Linked DNA regions of Drosophila melanogaster. The protein of the gene in region 2 purifies or fractionates together with the protein of the main gene of each other region. This does not show direct contact. Each region holds a gene or a part of one and is shown on either strand. Other genes may lie near its edges.

What was found.
Region 1: the proteins of CG3164 (region 2) and Scamp purify together in Drosophila melanogaster (affinity purification with mass spectrometry, with the first as the bait; one large-scale study listed by BioGRID). This does not show direct contact.
Region 3: the proteins of CG3164 (region 2) and CG10916 purify together in Drosophila melanogaster (affinity purification with mass spectrometry, with the first as the bait; one large-scale study listed by BioGRID). This does not show direct contact.

Annotation. Positions count from the first base shown.
Region 1 is NC_004354.4:15,445,205-15,451,919, reverse strand, and holds Scamp (scamp), read left to right. Parts: upstream 1-2,036; 5' UTR 2,037-2,152; coding exon 2,153-2,215; intron 2,216-2,411; coding exon 2,412-2,639; coding exon of another isoform or gene 2,640-2,687; exon of another isoform or gene 2,688-3,061; intron 3,062-3,339; coding exon 3,340-3,541; intron 3,542-3,895; coding exon 3,896-4,025; intron 4,026-4,089; coding exon 4,090-4,498; 3' UTR 4,499-5,741; downstream 5,742-6,715. Other genes in the region: Ahcy (adenosylhomocysteinase), read right to left, coding at 1-525, 1,063-1,253, 1,505-1,529.
Region 2 is NT_033779.5:127,373-132,768, reverse strand, and holds the start of CG3164 (uncharacterized protein), read left to right. Parts: upstream 1-1,977; 5' UTR 1,978-2,217; coding exon 2,218-2,261; intron 2,262-3,523; exon of another isoform or gene 3,524-3,785; coding exon of another isoform or gene 3,786-3,826; coding exon 3,827-3,969; intron 3,970-5,396. Other genes in the region: Gs1 (glutamine synthetase 1), read right to left, coding at 1-286.
Region 3 is NT_033778.4:18,171,845-18,176,699, forward strand, and holds CG10916 (uncharacterized protein), read left to right. Parts: upstream 1-1,824; 5' UTR 1,825-1,965; coding exon 1,966-2,757; 3' UTR 2,758-3,881; downstream 3,882-4,855. Other genes in the region: CG5726 (uncharacterized protein), read right to left, coding at 4,236-4,855.

The DNA.
Region 1 (6,715 bases), on a different chromosome or scaffold from region 2:
GATGGGATCGACCTCGGTGACGATCACCCGACCACCGAATCCTTTCAGTGCCTGGGCACAGCCCTTGCCCACATCACCGTATCCGGCCACGCAGCAGACCTTTCCAGCGATCATGACGTCCGTGGCCCGCTTGATGCCATCGATCAGCGACTCGCGGCAGCCATACAGATTGTCAAACTTGCTCTTGGTCACCGAATCGTTGACATTGATGGCCGGTACGCCAAGACGACCCTCCTTGAACATCTTGTACAGGTTGTGGACACCGGTGGTCGTCTCCTCGCTGAGGCCCTTGATGTTTTTCAGATACTGGGGGAACTTTTCGTGCACCAGGTTGGTCAGATCGCCGCCATCGTCCAGGATCATGTTCAGGGGCTGGCCGTCGGGGAAGACCAAGGTCTGCTCGATGCACCACATGTACTCCTCATCGGTCTCACCCTTCCAGGCGTACACGGGCACGCCGGTGGCAGCGATGGCCGCGGCAGCATTATCCTGGGTGCTGAAGATGTTGCAGCTGGACCATTGGACCTGGATAAAAGAATGAAAATGTAGTTCATGCGTTGAAGTTGAGATGTGGATGGGAAGGAACCTAAATTATATAGATATTTGCAAACTGATTTGCATTGCATATAGGATTGATCTATATCAGGAAATCTATGTATTTCAGGACATCAGCATTTGGCAGAAAATAGTTGCCATGTGCGAGGATTGAAGCAGATGGTGCTGCGTCAGAGGAAATAACAATCTGGAGGTCTTATCTTGGGCGCCTTGAACTTGCCCCCCTGCTGTTAAACGAAAGTTTTGTTATTCAAATTGGTGCGTAAACCAAAGGTGATAAGGGACCAGCCCTTGGACAATGCTTGGAGATACCTATCTTTCTACCTAATTTACAATTTCCTTACGGAATTTTGGTCGGTTTTATGGTTTTTGAAATGGTTTTTAGTATTGAAATGATGCTATCTTTGTGTATTATCCCGACTGTTCAGACCTACAGTTGGGCATACAATTCGAATGGTGGTACGATGCATAAAATCATTTAGAGCGCCAAAGAGGCACTGAACCCACCTGAGCGCCCAGTTCGACGAGGGTCTCGATGAGCACGGCGGTCTGGACGGTCATGTGCAGGCAGCCGGTGATGCGGGCGCCCTTGAGGGGCTTAGATGGGCCGTACTTCTTCCTGCAGGCCATCAGACCGGGCATCTCGTTCTCCGCAATAATGATCGCCTTGCGTCCCCATTCCGCCAGACTGATATCGGCTGTCGAGTGGGATATAAAAGGGAGATAGGGTCAGATAAGCAGGCACTGTTGATTTATACACCATACGGTCTGAATTTCTACGTTTTTTGCCCCAGCAACAACGTGCTCTCCTCTGTTTTGTCTCTCTTTTAACCTCAGAAACATGTGCTCATGAATAGATGCAATTCACCCGCACATGTCGCCTGTTGCCGGCCGGAGATTCGATTCGAGAGTTTGCCATCCGTTTGGGTTTATTTATAACGCAACTCACCGACTTTGTAGCTGGGCTTCGACATTCTTGCAAGGATTGGATGTTTGACTTGGATGCGGAGCAGACAGAATCGCACACAACCGAATTGGAGACGCGGGCAGCGGTAAATGAATCGAATCGCAACCCAAGACACTAGAATTCCAATTGCGGAATGGCGGCCCCAGGGATGGGAACTGGTTCCACGCAGCTGGTTCAGCTGGAGCAGTTCCGATTGGCACGATTGTTGCCATTTAAATTTAAAATTCATATGATAACTGCTGGTTTACATCCAATTGTATATAGAATCTTTTCTTTTTGCTATCATTTTAATAAAATGTATTAATAGGTCCTAAAAAATCAGACCATTGTATACCAGTTATTCACATTTTTCAGAATTCTAGATTAATGTTAAATGTGTTAAATAATAAGTTTTTCTGCCAAAATGAATTTAATATGTAATTCAAATAACATTAATTCTTTAAAGTAATTCTTTCGATATTTGAGGCCTACACTTTGATTCCCAACGAAAGCTTATCGATGCTGAACCATCACTAAAACCGACATCGATAACTGAGCAGAGTCTTAGGGAAAATATACACAGCGAAAAGCAAAGTGCGAGTCAGTGCGTTTTTCTGGTCATTGAACAGCCGTATCCAAAGTAGAATTCCCATGTCCGGCTCCGGTCTCGACGAGAATCCCTTCGGGGAGCCCAATCTGGACAATCCGTTTGCGGTGAGGCGATAGAAGAGCTAGGAGAGAGAGCGCGGAAGCCGAAGAAAAAACCCATCGCACACACACGCACACGTACGCAAAGGTGGGGTGTTGGTGTGCGTGCCTGTGAGTGTAGTGTGTGTGTGTGTTGGGTGCATTCGTCACATATGTTGAATGAATTGGTTTCTGATTGGGATTTCCCGGTTTTCCCCCGCAGGACCCCGCCATCCAGCAGGCACGACGACTCCAGAGCGGCGCCGCCCTTGTCTCTCTTGAGGATTACAATCCATTCGAGGAGCAGGCCAAGCCGCAGCTGCAGATCAACTCAACGAACACGGCGGCGGTGGTCCAGCCGCTATCGCAGAACATTCCGCCCCCGCAGACCAGTTCCCTGGGCGCCTCGGCGCCTAGCACCAGCATACAGATCACCTCGGAGGAGCTGCAGGTAACCCACTTGGCCGGTCGTCTCGCGTTACCGCCCACACAACAGTGAGCACTCTGCGGTGTGCTGTGCCGGCATGGCCACATCCGCAATACTCCAAAAACCGCATATGTACATCCAAATACTCGGAAACAATCGAAATGGACCACACCACACAGTTACACTAAAAGTTTGCCCTAAAAGTCTGTACAGTAATCACTTTGCTAGAGTGCCGGGATTAGGGCAGGCATATCACATTTTACTCTCCATCAAGAGTCAGAAAGATAAGCGGGCTTATCTCGATCTGCCAACGATATATCCGCTTTGGAGCATTTATCTGGTTGAGACTAGAAGCGGCTGCCGCGCCGAGTCTTCACTGTGCAAACTGCGGTTTCTCTTGATTTACTTGGCTTCTTCGGCCCTACACAATAATTCAAGAAATACTAGTTAGTAGATCTAAATACATATGATTTGGAGGCTTAAGTTTGCACTTTATTCTTGTACAGAATATTTCCTATAGATAGGCCAAATGCCTGAGGTTAAGATAGAAGTTTAACAAACTCAAGATTTGGATGTGAATTCCTATCATTGAATTTCGCCTTTGTTTTCCCAAATATGTAAATGAATAAGATTTAAAGTATTTACCATATACGGCCAATTTATTAAGTCATACAAAATGTATATATAAAACAGTCGATAATCATATGATTTTCATTGTATCCAGCGCCGGCAGGAGGAGTTGGACCGCAAGGCCGCCGAACTGGACCGCCGCGAGCAGCAGCTACAGGGCAATGTGCCGCAGCTGAACAACTGGCCACCGCTGCCGGATAACTTTTGTGTAAAGCCGTGCTTCTACCAGGACTTCGAGGTGGAGATACCGCCCGAGTTCCAGAAACTGGTCAAGCGATTGTATTACATTTGGATTTGTGAGTATTGGTTCTTTATGGCTGTGTTTTCTACATGTTTTCGCTGATAAGCGGTGCCATAGGTTGTGGAATTAGTCATCGCGTGTCGTCTACAGGCCGATGCCATTATTAATCAGATATAGCTGAATGGCTAATGGTCTTGGATGTGTGCGTGCCTTTGTGCAGAATATGCTTGCAAAGAGGGGAGCATGAAATTTGTTTGATTTACATGTTATCAGTATTAAGATAGTTTTTAAATGCATTTCTAGCATTATTTACTGCATGCATAGTATATAGTATATAATAATGCTTTCCCCTACAGATTATAGCATTATGCTGATTGTATGTGTCTATTTTGAATACTTTCTCCGACAGTTTACACCATGACGTTGTTGGCCAACGTGATAGGCGGTCTAATTTTGCTGTTCCACGCTGGCGAATTCGAGACCTTCTTCCTGGCCATCTTCTACACGATGCTCTTCTCGCCCGCCTCCTATGTCTGCTGGTGAGTTTATACCTGGAAGATTCTTAAAACATGAATAATGTGATGATGTGTGATTAATTTTCAGGTTCCGACCGGCGTACAAGGCATTCCGCAACGATTCGAGCTTCAACTTCATGGTCTTCTTCTTCATCTACTTCTTTCAAACGCTGTACTCGATTGTGCAGGCGGTGGGCTTCAACAAGATGGGCTACTGTGGCTTTATTACGGCCATCGGGCAGTTCGATGGGCAAGCGTCGGGTATTATCGTCGGCATTCTGCTGTTGAACGTGGCATTCTGTTTCACAGCGGTGGCCGTGGCCAATGTGCTGATGATCACAAAGATTCACTCGATCTACCGCAGCACAGGGGCCAGTATGGCCAAGGCCCAGGCGGAGTTCACCACCGAGTTTCTGCGCAACCAGCACGTCCAGGAAGCAGCCTCCTCGGCCGTTAATACGGCCATCAATTCGCAGTTTAACAACAGCAGGTACTAAGTGACACTCTGCTTTCCGGGGATCTAATCAAATCAAAAGGAGAATCAATCAATCAACCACGAACTCAAGCAGCACTCATCCTGCTTAACTGGGACAGAAAAAGATGATGATAGCCGCGCCAGAGAGAGGGAGATGGAGAAAGAACACTTAATAAACATTGAAATAGCTTAACACGAAATGAAAGTAAAGAAAAACATGAAACTAAAGCTAGCATTGGAGCATGGAACTAATAACTATTTGCTTTTGTGCATAAACAATTCCTAGAATGCCGTCGTCTTTATTACAAATAATTACTGTAATGATAACACAGAAACAACACACAATGCATAAACAATATTTATAAACGGAACAAAACCGAACTTGGAACTAAACTGAAAGTGAAAAAAAAACCAAACAAAAAGGAGAAAACAAAAAAACAAAAGGAAAACTAAAGCGGCCCACGATGCCTTCGACACGCAGCTGCAGCGGATCAAGTAGACAGGACATCTTAATCGCACGATATATGCCTCCAAATACAAGTATCTAGACTAAATTATTGTGTGTCTGTCTCTGTCCTGTGGAATAATTCGATTCTGATACTAACCCAGATTAATCAGGCGAAAGGGATGACACTGATGACGATGATGCTGCTGCTGCTGCTGCTGATGATGATGTTTTCTAGTTCTTTAAGTCATTAAAACGATATAGGAATAACCCCACTCCCTCGCACACGCAACACACACACACACACACACTCACATATATACGATCTTATATATATAACAAACATAATATAAATAATATATTTAACGCTTACATTATAGAACTTTATCTCTCGTCGCCTCGACCAGAGAGACAACAAGAAAGCGAAATTCATTTTTCATCCAAGCTGTGCTCCTACGCCCACTGCTCCACTGTCCCCCTCTCCTCCCTCCCCCCTGTTCCATGTCCCGACCCCCTTTTTCCGCCGTCACTGTCCTGCACTCACATAAAATGTCGTGTTTTTTTGTAATCGTAATTGTTATATATTATCTATTATCTATGTACATGAAGACAGCATATAAAATATATTGATTCACTTAAGTATTCACATTTTTTAGATACATTTTGTTCGTTTCTGTTTTGCTTGCAAGTCAAACTTATTATGTTACGACCTATTTAAAACTGAATTGAGAATAGCTAATGACGATCTATGGATGTGTATTTAAAATTCAAGCAAAATTTATGATAAATTCCAAAATAAATATAAAATACTTATAGATGTACAATAAGCATTGATTTTGAATTTATGGGTTGTTTGGTACTCATTTCTAGAGAATTCAAATGCATAATTTGGTGCGTAATTAAAGGGGTATAAAGACTTTTGAGATATTCATATTATTTATCTGCAAATCCCAGCCTTGAAACGCAATAATCAGGCTTAAATTCTTGGTTTATTACTGCTGGTTATCTGCATGGAGGTATTTACACAATTTATATAATAGATAGAACTGCCATCAATGCTTGTGTTTATATTAGTCAGTTTGCTTATAGATTTTAATCTTGAGTTTGTTTTGTATAAATAAATTCCAATAAAATTGAAAACCCCACAAAATGACTGGCAAATAGTTCGGATTACCGCCATAATCGACTCTTAATTAAGAGGAAATGTACAATGTCATTTAAAAGTGCACGAAGACCTTTGATTTCGAGAACTCATTCGATGGAAAATCAATTAGCAAGAAGAAAAGTTTACGTAAGCCAGTCGGTAATTAAGACGATTGAACATGGTCGAAAGTGAATGTTCCTGGAAATGCATAGTTACTGCACCCACGTCGCATTAGAGCGATGCCCACATACACGCCCACATCTTGTAAGGCCATCTCGGATTGATTTTGGGGCATGGAATCGGATTTGGTATGCCCATAAGTGTGATGTTTGTCAACGAAAGATGCAAATTTTATTTGGCAAATGTGGAATTAAATCAACAACGGGGCGTACACACTCAGCCATGAAATATGTGTGCTAGACATTTACAGATAAACATATATGAATATATACATCGTCCAGATATACATATATATGTACATATATGTATACTTATCGCCCTCCTTCTAGTTTGGGCAAAAATTGCGCATACGCCACGTTGGTGGAATATTTGCAACGATTTGTTTGCCATTTTGCTGGCAATCGAGAGAGCCGCAGAGCAGTCTATGAATAGAATTGTAGAATCGCTTGGAATGGTTTGAATGGTGGGCA
Region 2 (5,396 bases):
AATCCGGCAAGTCCTCCACGGAGCTGGGTACTTTGTCCAAAACGCGATCCTTGAGGCGAATGTTCTCGCCGGTACCGTCGATCCATAAGTAAGTAGCCTGCACTCGATTGGCCGGCGTTTCCAGGTTGCGGTACCTCTGCAGAATGCTCTTGTCTAGAGCCGTGTTGGGGGAGTTGGCCAAGAACTGGGAGCGGGTGGTATTGCCAGTACGCAGCAGACGCAGCTGCTGTGTTGCGGGAGCCACCAGCTCCTTCTTCAGGAAGAGTCCTGCCACGCGTAGTGCCATCTTGGTTCTTGGATTGGAGTCGGCGAGAAGGACAAAAGGACACGGTTAGTTATGTATTGCTGGCGAATGTGAGGACGTGCGCAGGAAGGGCAAGGGCTGGTGGCATGCTGGCTCACTCTGCTTTTCTCATGAATTTTTATGTAATTATTTTCCTTGCACTTGATTTTCCGAGGTAGTTAAAAAAGGGGTACTTTTCCAGTGAAGACGCAGTCTTCCGCACAACTTACCGTGCTCTGCTCGTTTTTCCACTTTACAGTTATATGATTGGTTAAACAGTCGCTGGTTGGACAGGTCTTTTGGTAATTTTGGATTGCGGTACTTTCGGTTTTCGTTTCTGTTTCTGTCAGGGGCTGCGGAGCGACTGTTGGGGACACCCGACCAATTCGATGTTTGGAAGTCTTGTGAGCACAGTTAGCGCGACAGCATTCACTTTTTTCGTTGTTTCGTCGCGCGCCTCGGGTTTTTCTTTATCTCGTTTGCGACGCCGACGCACAGACAAAGGCCTCCCAGAGAGCATTCAAAACTGGCGGTATATGAGCACCCGCTCCGCAGCCACTAGCCAGAGAGACCTGCAATGCGACCCATAATGTTTATGTTTCGAGGCTAGTCGGGTAGCCAAAAGCCCCGTTACTGAGCACACGCTATAAGCTCATTTATGCATTTCGAGCACTTGTAGCTTGCATTAGCGCCAAATGAAAAACAAAAGTTTTTAGTAATTCTCATCGTAGAACACCTGCACCATTTATGTGCATGGCCCACTTTAGAACCCACAAATTAAGTTCTACATTTTTGATAAATTCATTTCAGAAACTATGATAGGTTACGCAGTATGCAGATGCATTTCAGCAGTACTACTTATTACAACACTCTCTCATTTCTCGTAATCTCTTCGTAAAAACCTCCACCATTTTGCTCTTTGGCTGATTGTTTTGAATACACGCCTGGTACAAAGTTCACTATATACAATTAAATATAGCGAATGCAAGGAGCACCGTATCAGCTGTGTCTATTCGTGTTTGGCATTTGATAAACTCTGTGGTGGACCGCATTAATAGAGCCTTAAATGAAGCAATAATGATTTGTTTATAATATGTAAATTCGGTACTAAATGTTCCTATTCCTGGCTTGGGTCTCGCATACGACGTTCTGAATATTAAAAATATATCTAACTAAAACTATAACTAAAATAGCAGTATAAGTACACAGTGTAGCCAACTTTTAGGCTGAGTATGTAAAACGTTGAAATTTAAATGCTATGTAAATTCTGATCTAAATATCCTGTGTGGAGGATATTCAATATTTATTTGTTACAGATTATACTTAGTCCTAGGCCGTCGTTCATCAAGCCACGCATATTGGCCCACTCCCTCCTACATAATGGCATGTTGTCGCACAAAAGCCGAGACCACAGATATGTCTTCCAATTATTTGTTGGTTGCCTCGTAACTTAGAGGAAAGTACTGAAGAACGGATGAGTATATTTCAGATAGGATTAATGTTAAAATAAAGCTAAAACTCTGTTTCTGGCGGGAAAGCAAGCTTTTTTGGACGGCTCATATTGGGAGAGCTTCAGGTGGGCATAACAAAGAAAACAAGGAAAACAGAGGAAACTTTTATGTGCCAATGTGTGAGTGCCACTTTTCACCATAGACCCGAGTAATTCCCATATAGCCGTCTACGCTTTTCCAGTTACGTGGCATCGTTTCCACTAGTTGGCCGGCTTCAGTTTTCGCAAGAAACTACGAAAGTTTCCCTCCAGCAGAGTGTACATATTTTTACACCCGATGTGCAACAACCAAATACAAAATCGCTAATTCTTATATTCGGTTTGGGTTTCGACTGCCTATTCGTTATTGCCTGCGACTTAGCTTTCGCGAAGGCAACTTGTTGCTTCAAAGCGATGGTTTCAGTAGCTGTTGAGTTACGGCACCATGAACCAGTATAGTTGGAAGCAGTTTTTGGAAAATAATAATCTGTAAGTAGCCGAATCAGGCGGGTCTCAAGCAAAATGCATCACATTTAGTTGGCACATCTAATATACCACACCCCCCGTTTATAAAACGAAATCAACAAGTGTAGAACAACCGGTTTGCAATTCCTGCCAATTGTTGACATCTCCGTGACTTGATTAGCCACAAGCTTTAAAAAATTTCCAAGCCAATAGTCATCGGGAAATTGCCAGTGGAAATACATTATTCTTTCATATCTTAAGGCGACTGCATAACTTTAGTGCTGTATGCTGATTTGAACCCAGAAACCGAACTAGGAATAATATCTCAAATTGCGGTTTGTACTGGGAAAATACCTTTTGTTGGTCAATTCATTACGTTTTTACTTGCCCCAATATATACAATAACCGGTTTAACTAAACGTTATTAGCACTCCCAGTGCAATCCGTAAATCCCAATTAGATTGGGCAAAATATAGACCGGAGCATCGTAAAAGCATGCCAACAAGGAGCCTTACAGCAATGTCTACATCTAACTGTTGCGTTCAGATATACCACAAAACTGTTTCTGGGGCAAAGTTGTAAGGTCGTCCCACGCCATAGCCACAAATGACCTCATGCCACATTAAATGTAGGGAAAAGCAAAATGTAGGTAAAATGTCGCGTAAGCAAACCATTAAAAAGCGTACTAGAGCTCCTTTAAACGAATTACGGCACCGATTAACTTATTTTTACGTAAAACACGAAATGACAAAGTACAACCCCTTATCGGCTCATTGAAAACTCCTATCAGCTGTAGATTGACACCCATAGATAAGCCCCTCCAATAACTCATGAGTCATGAGCGAGGCCGTGAACTTTTAACTTAGATTGAATAAACCAATGGCCAGAACCTTAGCTTCCAGGACTAACTACTATAAAAGGCTGATAAACCAATCAAAGTACAAGACTGGGAATCAAAGACCTTCCTCAAGGTAAAGACTTTCCTCGAAATTAGTTAGTGGTATTTTATTTCGAGATACATGGGTCCGCCGATCGAGGAATATTCACAGATTATAGGCTTTTCCCAAATTCATTCAAGACTTAGTAGAAGAATGCGCTGGCTTTTGAGAGAGAGCCAACCCGCAGTGCCTCTCAATCGCACTAGAATCCCCACCAGAAGTAGTGCTTCTATTGTCGTCCCACTCTAACCACAGACGTAAAGCATTGGGGCTGTGAGAGTATGCGATGGCACTCTCTGTCAGCGGTTGCCTAAATTTCTGCCTTTGTTCCACTGCCGCAATTGCTTATTTCAGTTGCGATCGCGGCGCGAGCGAGTGAAGTCCTAATATTTGAGAAGCGGCAGTACCGTTTCGAGCAGACGGGTGGAAAATTTCTCTCACCGGACCAGACGGTGGTGGAATCGAATCGAGAACGCGAACGAAAAACCAAACGGGAACGAAGGGCAGCAGGGGCTGCAGTATTGCTGTCAGTGCTAAAGTTTACAAAGAATACACACACAACACAGTGGTTGCATTTTGCTTTTTAACCCCTGGTTGATTGATTGACAAGATGACTAAGAACGATAATGCAAATCTGTTGAACGACAACAGACTGGGCACAGCCGGAGCGGGTCAGTTGAAAGCTCAAATAGTACCCGCCCAGCCAAAGACGCTCCAGCACCTCCCCAAGCGACCAGCGGTGGACCTGGCCTTTCACAACCTGACGTACCGCGTCAAGGAGGGGAACCGGAGCAGTAAGTACTTCCACTGTCTAGTACCTCTCTCTATATCAAGCTGCACTCCTCGGCAGCACGAGAGCGGGATCTTGAACCTCCCGCGCCTGCTCTCACCTCACCCTAGAGCTTTTGTTTCCGGTCCTGGCTAGTAGTACTCCGCACATGTGTTATTGAGCTAGTTCTCCGGAGTACTCTGTCGCTATTACGCACTTCCCTGGCTTTAGCGGGTTTTACTTGTTTGCTTTAGCTGCGCTTCGCATTGTGTTGGTTTCTGGTTTCTTTGTTCTTTTAGCAGCTGTAACGCAGTATCAACACTCAGACTGTGAGCAACGGAGAACTTCGGGTTGTGGCTGAGTAGATATGTAACCCGTCGTCTCTTCGTCAAATTCATTTCCCAGTTTCACAAGGGCGGCTCTGGCCAAAGTTCACTAGGTTTCACCGCGATAAGCACTGCTAAATACATCAAAATCATCAGCCAGTAGCCGCGGAGTAACTGCCCACACAAGCTATTTCGCTATTGGGACAGTCAACAACTTGGTTCGATGCCATAGCATCTAAAAGGCGAGGAGCCATGTACTCGCACTTTTCTCACGTAGCAGTGTATCTACTTTAAAGCATGGGTGGAGCACAATGGGGTTTTTTTTTGGATCTACTGCTTTTATGGAAAACAATTTGTGATGACGTGCCAGAGGGAGAGGTATTGTTTTTATACCCTTTCCTCGTAGACTGCCCCTGATCCGCCAAAAAAAAAAGGATTATGAAATTGAGTAGCGGGTATGTTATAGTTGAGGAAGTCAAGACTGATGGCGGCGGTATGTGCTTTCTGTGTTAGCAGAGCGATTAGGATTTAGTCACTGCCAATAGCTAGCTTTAGTCGGGTGTGGTGGTGAAAACACATTTGTGGTAATATGCAGTGCCCCGGTGGGGCCGTTCAGAATAAGTAATGATGGCCGAGCGATAATATTCCATTAGTTTGGTATGCGAACGTGCACAACTGCTTTATTCTTATATTTATAAAAGCTCATTCATGAAACCCACTCCCCTCGTTGTCGCATTGGATGGCTGGCCTCACGGCGGACATAGTCCGTGAATCCCGTCTAAGATTGAGGGACTGTCAAAGCCTGTTTTTAAGCCCAAGGCCAGCCAAGTGCAAAACTAATTGGAGAAGGCAGCAGCCTGAACTTTGCACACCTCAAAGGTCGGCCATCCGACTCAATTAAGTCGTTCAGAATAAGCGAATATACACAGATTTATTTACACTGCCCTGTGAGCGTGCCCCACCTAGCCGAAAGATTTGCAGATGGCACGCCGCCTTCTGGGGTGTGCTAAGTTATGTGCCAAAATAATGTATACAATATAAGATGGAAGTGAGGCAACAGATGGAAATTGCGCTGATTTTGGCTAACTATGCCACTTAAAGTAAACACAATTAATGAAGTAAGTGC
Region 3 (4,855 bases), on a different chromosome or scaffold from region 2:
CAAGAGAGCCAAAGATAGAGAGTTTAATTAGCCGTTCTAATAATTTCGTTTAATAGTGAAATGGCCATTGTACATACATACATATATCTATGGCAAAGCACAATAAACAATGATAATGACAAGGCTATTCAACCGTTTATTTTTTGTTAGAAACAGCTGATTGCCGTTTTGTATTTGTTTATATAATAAAGCTTTGTTGACGTACGCAAAGCACAGCTGAAAAGCAACAAATGGCATAATCTCGTACGCATTTTTTGGCGTTTATTTATAGGCGGCAAACAAAGAGCGCAGTTAATGCGTCAGTGTGTGTGCCAAACATAGATATGTACTATGTACTTGCGTACATATGTATGTATTGTTTGTATTTTGGCAAACCAAAACAAACAGAAAATTTGCATATTATGCGCACATTAACTTGTTTCCATTGGAGTGGCGGCAAGTTTGGGAAACATAATTTGAGCCATTGAGAAACCGCACTAGCTGTAAATCAGCTGAATATCCATTTGTAGTTGTATGTTGAACTTAGCAATTAAAAGTGAAAGGATACGGGTGAACGCAGAAAAAGAAACGGGTATCTGGTCCTTGGCACTTACAGTTCATGCAGCCTTTTGTGCTCCTCTTCTCCGTCTGGTGTTTGTCCCTATATCTTTTCGGATTTATTGCGAATTGTACATAATTTGTTTAGCTTTTCCCGTAAAATTGTTTTCCGTGTCCCGAAGCCACGTACCGCGCGTCGTTGCCAGATCGGTTGAGTATCGTAAGTACCTGGTGCCACTTATCGATAGCTAATTTTAAATATTTATAAATTCTTGTGTTAAAAATGACCTGAACAGTATTTGAAACTATTATTGAGCACAGGTGAACCTTTTATTAGTTTTTAGCTATAAAATCCAAATTTATTATATATATACATTACATATTTGACTTCCTGATTATGAAATACATTTGTTTAACAACTGGCATACACTTTAATTAGTCTATTTAGTAAAAATCTATAACAAAATAAAACAAAATTGTTCTGAAACCTTGAGACCTAAATATTAGCAAAAAGTTTGAAATTAAATGTTATAAGCGTTTGAGATCCATGTAAACTTACGAAATATAAAAATAACAGTATTTCTGGCACTACTTAAAGTCCATCTCTATAAAGCTCGTATCCGTTAATTTTAAAATAAAACAAGTGCGCCATACGTATTTAAAGCTCAGTGTGTAAAGGGATTCAGATATGGATGGTAACAGCAAAGAAATGGAAAATTGAGAAGCACCCACAAATGACCCATCGCCATACCGGATTCGGAAACTAATTCCCGAACAGACAATGGGCCACAGGTGCATTCACGACGAACTTGTTCGCAGAAGTACCCGGTTAAAAGCCTGTCCTCTGACTCACAAGAATAACAGGGATTTTCCCGAGCACCCTCTGCTCATGAATCTGGACAGAGACAGCTTATCGGATGCCCACCTGCCGCCCGAGGAAGCAGTGCAGTGCGGCACTAACGAGGACGGACATCATGCGTCTGGGCAAGGTACATTCTTCCCATAAGGTCATGTACATCCCGCAGCACGGTCAAGAGGTTAACGTTGGCACCAACGAAGTACTGGTGCAGGTTTGAAACGCTACTTTAATACAAAGTAAAGATCCAGTAGATAACCACAAAATGATAGCACAGTACATTATCTTAGCCAAAATAGAGTTATGATTAAGACGCTAATATAAATGTTACTTAATATAAATGTTACTTACTTAATGCTATAAGATATTTAAAGGATTATTTTCAATCAAGATTCAAACTTATTAAAATAACAGTATTTCTAGTATATTTGGTATTCTCCAGAGGTCATCTCTAATAAAGCAGGAAAGTTGATACGAATCGTTTCGTTTTCCGCTCATTGTTGTGAAATAAATTTGGAACAGAAGAATAGAGCCACACATATTCAAAGCTCAGTATCCATAGGGACGTAGTTATGGAGAGTAATAGTAGTGAAATGGAAGGTAACGGCGGAAAAATCGCAGAAACTGCACCCACAAATGACTCATCACCTTCACTGAACATTTTATGTGCAATTTGCAACGAGTTTTTCCGGGCCAACGACATAATTTTCTCAACTTCACGGTGCGGTCATGTATTCCACAAGGACTGCCTCACCCGATGGCTGAATAGGTCCAGGACCTGCCCCCAATGCAGAGACCCATGCGACCGACGACGCGTGCACCGATTGTACCTAAACTTCGCCGAGGCCCCGGAGTTCGATGACACCGAATTGCCCAAGGTGGCCATGGATTGGGTGCCCATTGATCTGGACAGAGACAGCTTACCGGATGCCCACCTGCCGCCCGAGGGAGCTGTGCAGTGTGGCACCAACGAAGACGGACTGCCCACGTATGTGGCCAGAGGATATTACCACGACGATCTCCTGCCTGCTCCTTATGTACCGGAAAAGAAGGCTGCCTTCGGTTCGCACAGCTGTAGCGCCCGAACTCTGACCGATGATGTCGAGATCCTGGTGCTCAACGACTGTGACTACAAGTGGGTGCCCGGACAGCATGGAACATATCCGCGGGATGCTCTGAACACGGGCTACTCCGAGCTGGGTGAGGTCACCTACACGGGTCGTGGTCTTTACCAGGGTATCCTGCGTCTGGGCAAGGTGCATCCTTCCCACAAGGTCATGTACATCCCGCATCATGGTCAAGAGGTGAGCGTAAACACCTACGAAGTCCTGGTGGTCACCCCACGTGACCAGGCAGATCGATGATGCTGCTGATATCTTAAATCTCTTATGCCTTATTGTATGAATCTGTGTTATAAATACATATGTACGTCTTATTCTATTTTTGAAAAAAATCGGATCTATTATTTCTGTACTTGTTTTAAATTCGCTTATCAGTAAGCCAAGATTTGTCCCCAATTTCTTTAATCAAGCGAAAAATTGATAACTTTGTTTTGACTGCCAGCAAATTATGTACAAATAAAAGTCCCCATATACATATGTATAAGTTAGTCTGCTATTTGCTGCCCTCAAGTATGCAATTCTTTATAATAGTTTGGAAAGTGAAGATGTTTGTGACTAGACACGGGTTTAAAAATATTTTGACCTTGACTTGATCAATGCCTACGATAAACGGAAATCTTGGTTTTTTGTATATTGTATCTAAAACGGACCAACTGTCTTCAAAATGGCAAGATTAATAAAAACTGCGGTCTTAAAGCTTTCTTACTATCGCTTTTGTAAAGTATGCACAACCGAGAGTTGCCCACAGAAGTTCTGGAAAGTGGAAACGCAGAAGACGAGGGGAGTCACCCACAAGGATTCGGAAAATACATTCATCCAATCAGGTGATGTAAATACGGAGGTAAGACTATGACATTCTGCTGGTGATTTCAAAAGTTTTCAAAAGAATTTGTTTTAATGTTTGATTAATGATAATGCAATTTTTTTGTTTTATTAAAAATGTGTTAGACGCTATTTATATGCTGATTAGTGTTTTGAACCTACGCATGTTGCGAACATATTGATTATACCTAAACAAAGAGGTTTAAGTATCTATATAAGACTACTCGTATAACTCTACAATTCATGTTTTTCTCTGCACTCCGGCTTGGCTTTGTTGTTCCAACAGAGGGCCTCACAAAATTTGCTTTAAAAATACGTAAGCTTGTATAATTCGTTTAATAAATCGGCTGAACCTGCACTATAACATGACATTTAATATATAAGTATATATTTAGCTAAAAATACAAATTTTTATATGTTCAACATGCTTTTAACATTTCACCAACAGGCGTTTTACTTTTCAATAGAAATAGGATTATTTTTGTTTTTTCATTGACTTTGTACTTAGTTTCTAAGCAATTTGTATATATAAATATAAAAATGAGTGTGTGTGACTGTATTTTGTGTGGGAGTGTTTATGTGGCGTGGTTGTGTGGGACTACACAAGACATTCATATATATATAATTGGTATTTACAAATTTAGTGGCTCCAATGTGTAATGCATGCATGCTTAATATTCTTTAAGCCTGGATTTGAGATGGATTTGTTTTGTGATTGGTCTAAATTGTTTTGTATTGGTTTAACATTTGAGCTCAGTTGAAGACAAAATAATGTGAAAACAGTCTACGTGGATATACACATCCATTAGGAAACATATACGAAGGCGAAACAAATAACTTCTAAACGGACTTCAAAAACAATTTTCGTACATGTGGATGACTTCGTAAAGTGTATAAACTCATTTCTGGGCCGACAAATAGTTCATGTACTGAGTGGTCTGCTGGGCATTCCGCACCAGCTCGCTTTCCTCCTTTCCGGATGGTGGTTGGCCCTTATCCGCCTGCCCCTGCCAGTTCTCCTCGTTCTGCGGCTGATGGATGTCTGGCTGGGAGCGGCGTGTGAAATGGCGGTGCCGCTGGTGCTGATGCTGATGTGGATTTTGTGGCGATGTCTGTTGGCGACGATCAAACGAGCTGGACGCTTCGCTGGCCAAACTGCTTTGGCTGCTGTAACGCGGGAATCGAGGACCACCGCCTGCATGCGTGGGGCTCTGATTGTACCTATAGCCGCCTGATTTATCCATTTGCGATTTTGGCGGTCTCGGCAGAGTGCGAGCCCTGGATGAGCTGCGACTATTCGATTCCGGACCATTCGAGTTGTACGCACAGTTCTCGTCTTGGTAGCCACTGTTTATAGCATTGTTTGAGCGTCGCCAGGAATCGCTGTGTATTTTATGGTTGCCTCCCTGATGTTGCTGTTGCATCTGCTGTTGTTGTTGCTGCTGTTGTTTCTGGAATCGCGGCGGTTTGTCGTAGGTGTTGCGGTTATTGAATCGCCCACCTCGCTTATAGTTGTTTC